2 linked regions of the Macaca fascicularis genome follow. The protein of the gene in region 2 purifies or fractionates together with the protein of the main gene of each other region. This does not show direct contact. Links are inferred from orthologs where the notes say so. Each region holds a gene or a part of one and is shown on either strand. Other genes may lie near its edges.

Evidence for each region.
Region 1: the proteins of VDAC1 (region 2) and BCAP31 purify together in Homo sapiens (affinity purification with western blotting; 3 studies listed by BioGRID, with this or other methods). This does not show direct contact. The link is inferred for Macaca fascicularis from reciprocal best matches to the Homo sapiens genes VDAC1 and BCAP31.

Annotation. Positions count from the first base shown.
Region 1 is NC_088395.1:159,779,655-159,784,151, forward strand, and holds the start of BCAP31 (B-cell receptor-associated protein 31), read right to left. Parts: upstream 2,931-4,497; 5' UTR 2,896-2,930; coding exon 2,742-2,895; intron 2,523-2,741; coding exon 2,384-2,522; intron 16-2,383; coding exon 1-15. UniProt on the Homo sapiens protein: Functions as a chaperone protein. Is one of the most abundant endoplasmic reticulum (ER) proteins.
Region 2 is NC_088380.1:140,514,824-140,518,593, reverse strand, and holds part of VDAC1 (non-selective voltage-gated ion channel VDAC1), read left to right. Parts: intron 1-1,330; exon of another isoform or gene 1,331-1,401; intron 1,402-2,494; exon of another isoform or gene 2,495-2,497; 5' UTR 2,498-2,500; coding exon 2,501-2,567; intron 2,568-3,160; coding exon 3,161-3,210; intron 3,211-3,770. UniProt on the Homo sapiens protein: Non-selective voltage-gated ion channel that mediates the transport of anions and cations through the mitochondrion outer membrane and plasma membrane.

The DNA of each region.
Region 1 (4,497 bases), on a different chromosome or scaffold from region 2:
AAAATCTTCTGCCATCTGTGAAGACGACAAAAAGGACGGGAGCTGAAGAGAAAGCACACACATGGGCTCTAGGGCCCTGAGCAAAATGGAAATCCAGCTTTGCACTCTTCTCCAATGGCCGAATAGCCCACACAAAGTCAGCCTCAGTGGCTTGCAATTCTCTAATTTGATATCCATTCAAGAGCGTTGGAAAAAAGGCCAGGTGCAGTGGCTCACACCTGTAATCACAGCACTTTGGGAGACCAAGGTGGGTGGATCACTTGAGGTCAGGAGTGCAAGACCAACCTGGCCAACATGGCGAAAACCCCGTCTCTACAAATAAAGTACAAAAATTAGCCAGGCATGGTGGTGGGTGCCTGTAATCCCAGCTACTCAGGAGGCTGAAACAGGAGAATCACTTGAACCTGGGAAGCAGAAGTTGCAGTGAGCTGAGATCACGCCACTGCACTCAAGTCTGGGCGACAGAGTGAGACCCTGTCTCAAAAAAAAAAAGGTGCTGGTCCACGTAGAGATCGAAATGTCTAGAAAACTAATCTTTTTTTTATTTTGAGACAGTCTCGCTCTGTCACCCAGGCTAGAGTGCAGTGGCATGATCTCGGCTCACTGCAAGCTCCGCCTCCCGGGTTCACGCCATTCTCCTGCCTCAGCCTCCCGAGTAGCTGGGACTACAGGCGCCCGCCACCACGCCCGGCTAATTTTTTGTATTTTTTATTAGAGACGGGGTTTCACCGTGTTAGCCACAATGGTCTCGATCTCCTGACCTCGTGATCCGCCTGCCTCAGCCTCCCAAAGTGCTGGGATTACAGGCGTGAGCCACCGCGCCTGGCCTGGAAAACTAATCTTAAACACGGGTAGTTGGCTGGGAACAGTGGCTCACGTCTGGAAACCCCATCTCTACAAAAAAAAAAAAAATATATATATATATATATATACACATACACACACACACACACACACATATATATAAAAAATCAGCTGCGCATGGTGGCAGGCGCCTGTAGTCCCAGCTACTCAGGAGGCTGAGGCAGGAGAATCACTTGAACCCAGTAGGTGGAGGTTGCTGTCAGCCGAGACCACACCACTGCACTCCAGCCTGGGTGACAGAGCAAGACTCTGTCTCAAAATTAAAAAAAAAAAAAAAAAAAAAAAGAAACCACAGCAACAAAAAGAAAACACACTGATAGTCTCTGAAAAGGGAAACTTACTTTTCATTGTTCTCCCCTTTGTAATATTCAAAATGTCTGCCCCATACACATGTTATTTCTTTAAACTGTCTTTCCACATGATAAACCTTGGTTTGCCTATATCCCCCCCCACCCTGGGTTATGATGAGATGGACCCTAGACCTCACATCATTTCCCTCCACAAATGCTTTGGGATGCAGCTCTAAGAAGAGACTTCAGAAGTGTTTACATATTGTTCAAACCAACAAGAAGCCCTCATCATCAGGGCTAGAGATGAAAATGCCAATCACGGTAGGCAACAGTATTTGTTTGAATCTGGACCCAGCAAGGTACCGATTTGGCATTTGGTAGATAAATGTCTTAAATCCCTCTTCTTATGGAAGCTCCCCCTTCCCTCCCCTCTTTCATTTGCTTTTCCAATTTGCTTTGTGTAGAAATCAGATTGTCTGTCCTCTAAAGCTTCCCAGATTAAAGCTCCCCGGGGCCCTCTATCTCTGCATGTCTTGTCAACTGTACAAAGGTTTGGTTTTCTGCAAGAATCCTCCTCAGGCAGCGCTGCATACTTTCTGTGGTATCACATCAGGGATAATTTTTCATGAAAAAACAGTTTTTAAAAATACCTGTGGAGATTTGGCCTTATTTGTAATACGTGAATTTAAATAGGGACGTGTTCAGGTATTATACATAATTAACAATTAACTTCCAATTCACTTTTAACAGGTCCTCTGTTCATTAAAAGGGAATATGGCTTCATCCTCCACAGGCTGAGTAATGTTCATGCAGCCACTGCGCAATGCCAGTGAGACTAGTTAGGACAAGAGTCACCAAATCAGCAACAACGTGACCCAGTGGTGCAAGTCTTCCGAATCCCACGCTGCCATCCCAAGACCCCGGGGGCCAAGAGTAGGCGGGAGGGCATCATTTCCAGAACTGTAACATGGATCTTCCTGCCTCTCGCGGGCATTCTGAAGACCAGAAGGCAGGGGACACAGGAAAAGGAACTGAGCAAGTCATGACGAAGCAGAACCCTGGGGAGGGTTGGCAATAACAAACACAACCCCTGCCACCCCCACCCCTGACAGGTTCTACCTGTTCCATCGGGTTCCAATTCCAGGGTCCACCAGCTGCACACACCAGTCCCAGGGCTAGGGCACAGGGACCCTCCCGCCTAACTCGCCTGCTTGCTCCACAAGCCATACCTTTTAGGAGAAATGAAGGGAATGCAGAGAAGCAACACAACAAAGACCTCCGCATAGAGGAAGGTGGCAACTGCAGTCCACTGCAGACTCATCCTGCTGCTAGAAGGTCTCCCACAGGGAGATGTGAGCTTGTTTCCTGGCAGGGCACAGAAGGAACAGGATTTGTAAGCGCTGGGCAGCCAAGAACATCCAGTTCAGTTACCCTGCGAGGCTGGGGCCGCCACTCTCCACTCGACCCCCTGCACTTTGCTTCACAGTCTCTGACGCGCTGGCGGAAGCAGGGCTCCACTAGGCAAGGCCGCTTGGCCAGCAGCGTTCACAGGCCCCACAAACTTCCGTTCGCTGGTCAGTTACCCGCCCCCCTCCAGCACGTGTGTCAACACGTCCAGAGCGGCCTCTCCCGACGATCCCTGTCCCAGGGAGCCCGAGATTTCCGACGCCCATTTAACTGAAAAGCGTTCTTCGGGAAGAGCAGTGCCAGAGCGCCAAGAGGAGGACGCCTCGGCACCCATTGGACGCTCCCTTCCCCGCCAGGCAGAACTCAGCCGCAGAGGCGGGCGCTCTGTTGGCCCAAATCCCCGCTACCAGGCGGGCCCAAGGCCGCATCTAGTCCAAGCGCTGCCGACACCCCCGCCTCCCACCGTCCCCACGGCGCCCGCGGAGAGAAACCGGCACCTCCCTCGAGGCTCAAGCGGCCTTCCGCCCGGGGCCGCTTCGCCTCCGGTGGGCTGGAGGCCCGCAAGAGCGACTCCTAGAGAGCAGAATTCGGGACCAAGCGCAAAAGCAGGTCTAGACCAAGCACCTCAAGGCCCCATACGGGGAAAGTTCTAGACGCAGTCTCCTCAGAAGCCAGGGGTCCTTCCAGTAGCCCTCGAGGGCCATAGCGCCCACCCAGAGCGAGAGCCTACTGCGCGCACCGTGGGCCCCGCCGACATGACCCCGGCCTGGCACACCGTCCCCGAGGCCCAGCAAGGCCGCTCCTCCAGGTGGGGCTTCACCGCCCCCCACCCCGCCCCCGAGCCCAGCTTCTAGAGGCACCGCCCGTTTTCCCCTCTCCCCTGCCCCTCACACCCAGGTAGGCTGCGGGCCCCGAGATTCCCCGGCCCCCGGGCCTCCCCGCGCCGCTCGCCTCTCTCCCTCGTCAAGGGGCCAGGGAGCCTCGGCGGTCCCGGAGCTCAGCCTGGCGCGCGGAGCCCGCTCACCGAGTTTCCCACAGTCAGCGTGCAGGCCCCGCCGCAGCAGCCGAACTCTCCCACAGCAGCCCCGGCCCCGCCCCTCATCCCGCGGCCGGAAACCGGAAGCGCCCGCCGGGCACCGCCCACTAGCCCTCGCGAGGCCCCGGAGGCTCCGCCCACCGCCGCTTCCCGCCCCGCCCCCGAGCGGAGGGCCGACGCCCCGAGCGCGAGAGGAAGCGGCGCCTGGGGCTCCGGGCGCGCGGGGAGGGGTGGAGCGAGCACGCGGGCGGGGCGGGGCTTTGGCGGGCCTACGAGGGCCGCTTATCTAGTCCGCGAGGCCGTCCCACGTCTCTGTGGTGCGGAGAGGCCCTGCCGAGGGGCGAGAACGGGGTTGGTGGGGGAGGGGCCTCGCCGAGGGGCGAGAACAGGGTGGGGCTCCCGCGCCCGGACTCCGCCCTTCGCCCCTCCTCCGCCTCCTCCCCTTCCCCCGACTCGCCCCTGGGGAGGGGTGGGTGGGGATTCTGGGCCGGTGGCGGAGTCACTGTCGCTTCAGCCAGGCTGCGGAGCGGACGGACGCGCTTGGTGCCCCGGGGAGGGGCGCCACCAGGGGAGGAGGAGGAGAAGAAGGTGGAGAGGAAGAGACGCCCCCTCTGCCCGAAATCCTTCCAGGCCCTGACCTCAGGAGCCAGGGCACTGACAGGACAGGAGAGCCAAGTTTCTCCACTTGGGCTGCCCGAAGAGGCCGCGACCCTGGAGGGCCCTGAGCCCACCGCACCAGGGGCCCCAGCAGCACCCCGGGGGCCTAAAGCGACAGTCTCAAGGGCCATCGCAAGGTTTCCAGTTGCCTAGACAACAGGCCCGGGGTCAGAACAACAACCCTTCCAGCCACCTGCCTCAACTGCTGCCCCAGGCACCAGCCCCAGTCCCTGCGCGCCAGCC
Region 2 (3,770 bases):
TGCCAGGTGCTGTGCTGGGGAGAATGCTTACCTAGGGGTCCAGAATGGGGGAGATTATGCTTCATTGTCTGTGTTCAAGGAGATGGGGAAGAGAGCATGACACACAGAAGAGAAAGCCAGCATCCAGCATGTTTACAGTGAGGTGTTGGATAAGGATATGTTTTAGTGAACCAGCAAGTTCACTTGTGTGCTGCTGGTACCAACTACGTGGTGGTTGTGGGACCCCACAGCCCCAAAAGAGCTTGGCCGTGTTGGAGCTCCCAGAGGCCCCAGGAGGGGTCCGGTCTGCTCTTCTGAGCTCTGCTGTCTGAGTCCCTTGTCCTTGGGTGGTAATCTCCTTAGTGGCCTGGTACTTTAGGCTGATGTTTGCTGTGGGTGGGGTGCTTTTTGACAGGTGGCTGTGCTTGTTGGGTTTTGGGGATTAGTGATGAGAGAGGGCATTTGGGGAACATTAAGTGGATGAGTGTTCTGCCTTTATCCTGAGCGGGGACCAGTCCAGATGTGAAGGCTACTGTGTCTGGGAGGCATCTCTTCTGTGGGGTCAGGGGAGAGTCGTGAGGAAGGCTCTGGCTCCTAAGGTCCAGGGAGGTCTTAGCTGACCCACAGATATTACCACGGGACTGCTTCTCCTCCTGTCTCCCTAGCCCCACCCCGAGCTGAGTTTGTAGCCCAGCTGGGAGAGATAGCACTGAAGGGGGGTGCTTGGTTCACTGATGGTTTGTTAACCCTGTCAGGTGGAGAATGTTCTGGGCCATTTGCTGTTATGTTCTGTGTCTGCCTGGGGTTACATTGCCTCAGCTTTCAATCCAGAGTTGTTCTCCTAGGAAGGGGTCAGGCAAAGGATATTTCTTGAGGATCTGGTGGATGGTTTCCTTGTCTATCCCAGGGGGATGTACCTACAGGGTTAGTTTGGGAGGGAGGAACAGGTGGGGAGAGGGGAGCCCCCAGACTTGAAAGAGCCAGTGGCGGGCAGTGTAAAATGGTTCTTCCTCCTCATCGCTCTATCCTGATCCTAATGTGGGCTGACCTGTCCATGGTTCCAGCTTGATCATGTGCAAGAAATAACATAGCAGCGACAAAAATAGGACAGAGTAAACAGCTTGCTGCTCTTCTGTCTCTGCTCTGACACAAAAGTGAGCTGGGATAAAATTAACAAAGCATCTGGAAAAAGTAAAGTAGGACCTGGACCACAACTTCACAATTTAAAATTGTAGAAGTTTATACTGTTTCTTTTGCAACATACTCAGTGAGTCTGTGGCCTCCTGCAATGCCTTTGAAGTTAAAGCTTTGGCCAAGAATGCAACTTCCATTTGTTATATTGTTCCCTTAGGATCACTTGAACCACTTTTTAGTGGGCTCCCTCCCACTCACCAGGAGCAAGTCATACATGTGTTTACTTGTGTGAGTATATATACATGTAACTTCAGATGGTGTATATGCAGATGCATTTTGATAATTTAGGTATACTGTATTTTAAAACGAATGGTCCTTCTGGTTGAGACTAATGATTCTGGGAATGGAGAAGGTGCAGGAGATGAGGCTTTCTCATGCTTGACCCCCTCTGCTCCTGGGCAGAGCACACAGTGTACAGTCCCAGATGAGGATATTAATCCTGTGTACACAGCATATACAGCATGCCAAAGCAAAGCCTTCCAGGACTGCAGTGTGCTCCTCAGGGCAAAGACTATTTGAGTTACTCTCCTTCCTTGAGCACTGAGGTGCTTAATAAATGTTTGTTGATTGACTTAGTGATATGCAGCAATCCCAAGTAGTCCTTTGATGGTTATTTTTGAAAATAAAGTTACACTGGAGCTTAAAAAAATGTTTGTTTAAATTAATTTATTTGTAGGATGTATTTGGGTTTTTTCCACGTGAACAGCTGCCAAATTGGTTAGGTTTTACTGTATTTCCTATGAGAAATACGAAGTGGGTTCCCATAAAGTCCAAAAGTTTTGTGAAAAGTTGGGCCCATCCTGGCATGTAGTAGGTACTCTATAAATATTTGTTGAATGAATGAAATCAGAGCCACATGGAAAATGATGTTCCCATGAAAAGCTCTTATTTCTATTCGGCGCATTTAATGTCCTAGTAGCTGGCATTTTATAAGAGGATATGTTTTATTGGCAACAGTCCTAAAATTCAGTAAAGACATTGGCTCATGGGAATGTGTCTTTGACAGTTTATTCATTAAGCAAATATTTCCTGACTCCTACTCTGTTCTGGGCCTGGGCTCAGTCCTGGGGATGCTGAGGAGGAGAGGTCTAAATTGTTGATCCTCTGTCAACAAAGACTCACTGAGTGTCTCAAGCTCTGGCCACAAAATGAAGTACAAGACAGCAAGGGCTTCTTGGCCCATGTGGGAGGATAAGCTACCTGGAAGTTTTAGTGCTAGGTGATTTTTATTGGTTGCTAATTACATCTAATAATTGTTATTGATGGAAAGCTAATTTCCCTAATTACCAATGCATTTATTCTGGTGATTCTTTTATCATAGCAGAAGATGGCTGTGCCACCCACGTATGCTGATCTTGGCAAATCTGCCAGGGATGTCTTCACCAAGGGCTATGGTGAGTGTTGCAGAGAGCGGGTGCCTTTCAGCCCCCAGACTGAGTTGGCATGTTTGAGACTTTACCGATAACTGTTTAGGAGACCTGGGTAGGTCAGCTGTTCTGAACTTTCACGTGAAGGAAAAAAGCAGCTTTCATTTGTGTGGCAAATGAAGCAGTTTTGGTTGTGCCCCCAGTTGGACGGGCTCCTGCATTGATGCTGTCAAGTGGGTATTCCTGTTTTCTCTTCCAAGTGTGGAGCAACCCTGTGGAAGCTGCTGCAGTGGAGCGCGGCTTCTATATTTAGCCTGTGCTTAGGCACATGCCCACGAGGCCTGATGACTGTGTCTCTGCCAGCTGTCAGGCATCTTCTTCTCAAACCCTGCTGGGAGTGCAGGTGGGACCCAGGTGGGCCTGTGCGCATTCTGTCTGCTGCTGTTCCATGGCAGCTGAACTCCCCCCACGAGCAGCAGCAGAGACTGGGTGCCCTCAGCCCGTGTGGCAGTAGTGTACTTCTTCTAAAAAAGCATTTCGAAGCAACCGTGAGGGAGGCAGAGGTGCTGTTCTCTAGATAGTTATTTAACCTATTAACAGTTGTCTTCTTCTTTCTTTAGGATTTGGCTTAATAAAGCTTGATTTGAAAACAAAATCTGAGAATGGATTGGTAAGTTGTCCAACCCACGTGGAACATGAGTATTTATTTATTTTTATTTTATTTTATTTTATTTATTTATTTTTGAGATGGAGTTTCGCTGTTGTCACCCAGGCTGGAGTGCAATGACATGATCTCAGCCCACCGCAACCTCCACCTCCAGGGTTCAAGCGATTCTCCTGCCTCAGCCTACCGAGTAGCTGGGATTATAGGCGCATGCCACCATGCCCGGCTAATTTTGTATTTTCAGTAGAGACGGGGTTTCTCCATGTTGGTCAGTCTGGTCTTGAACTCCCGACTTCAGATGATCTGCCTGCCTTGGCCTCCCAAAGTGCTGGAATTATAGGCATGAGCCACCACACCTGGCTTATTTTTATTTTGAAAAAAGATTTTAGATTCAGGCTATACATGTACAGGTTTGTTACATGGATGTATTGTGTAACGGTGAGGTTTGGGTTTCTAGTGTACCCATTACCCAAATAGTGACCATTGTATGGAACATGGGAATTTGTTGTAGATCAACAAATAACTGTCATGACATGGCCGGCAAAACCAAAAGAAGGTACTTTTTA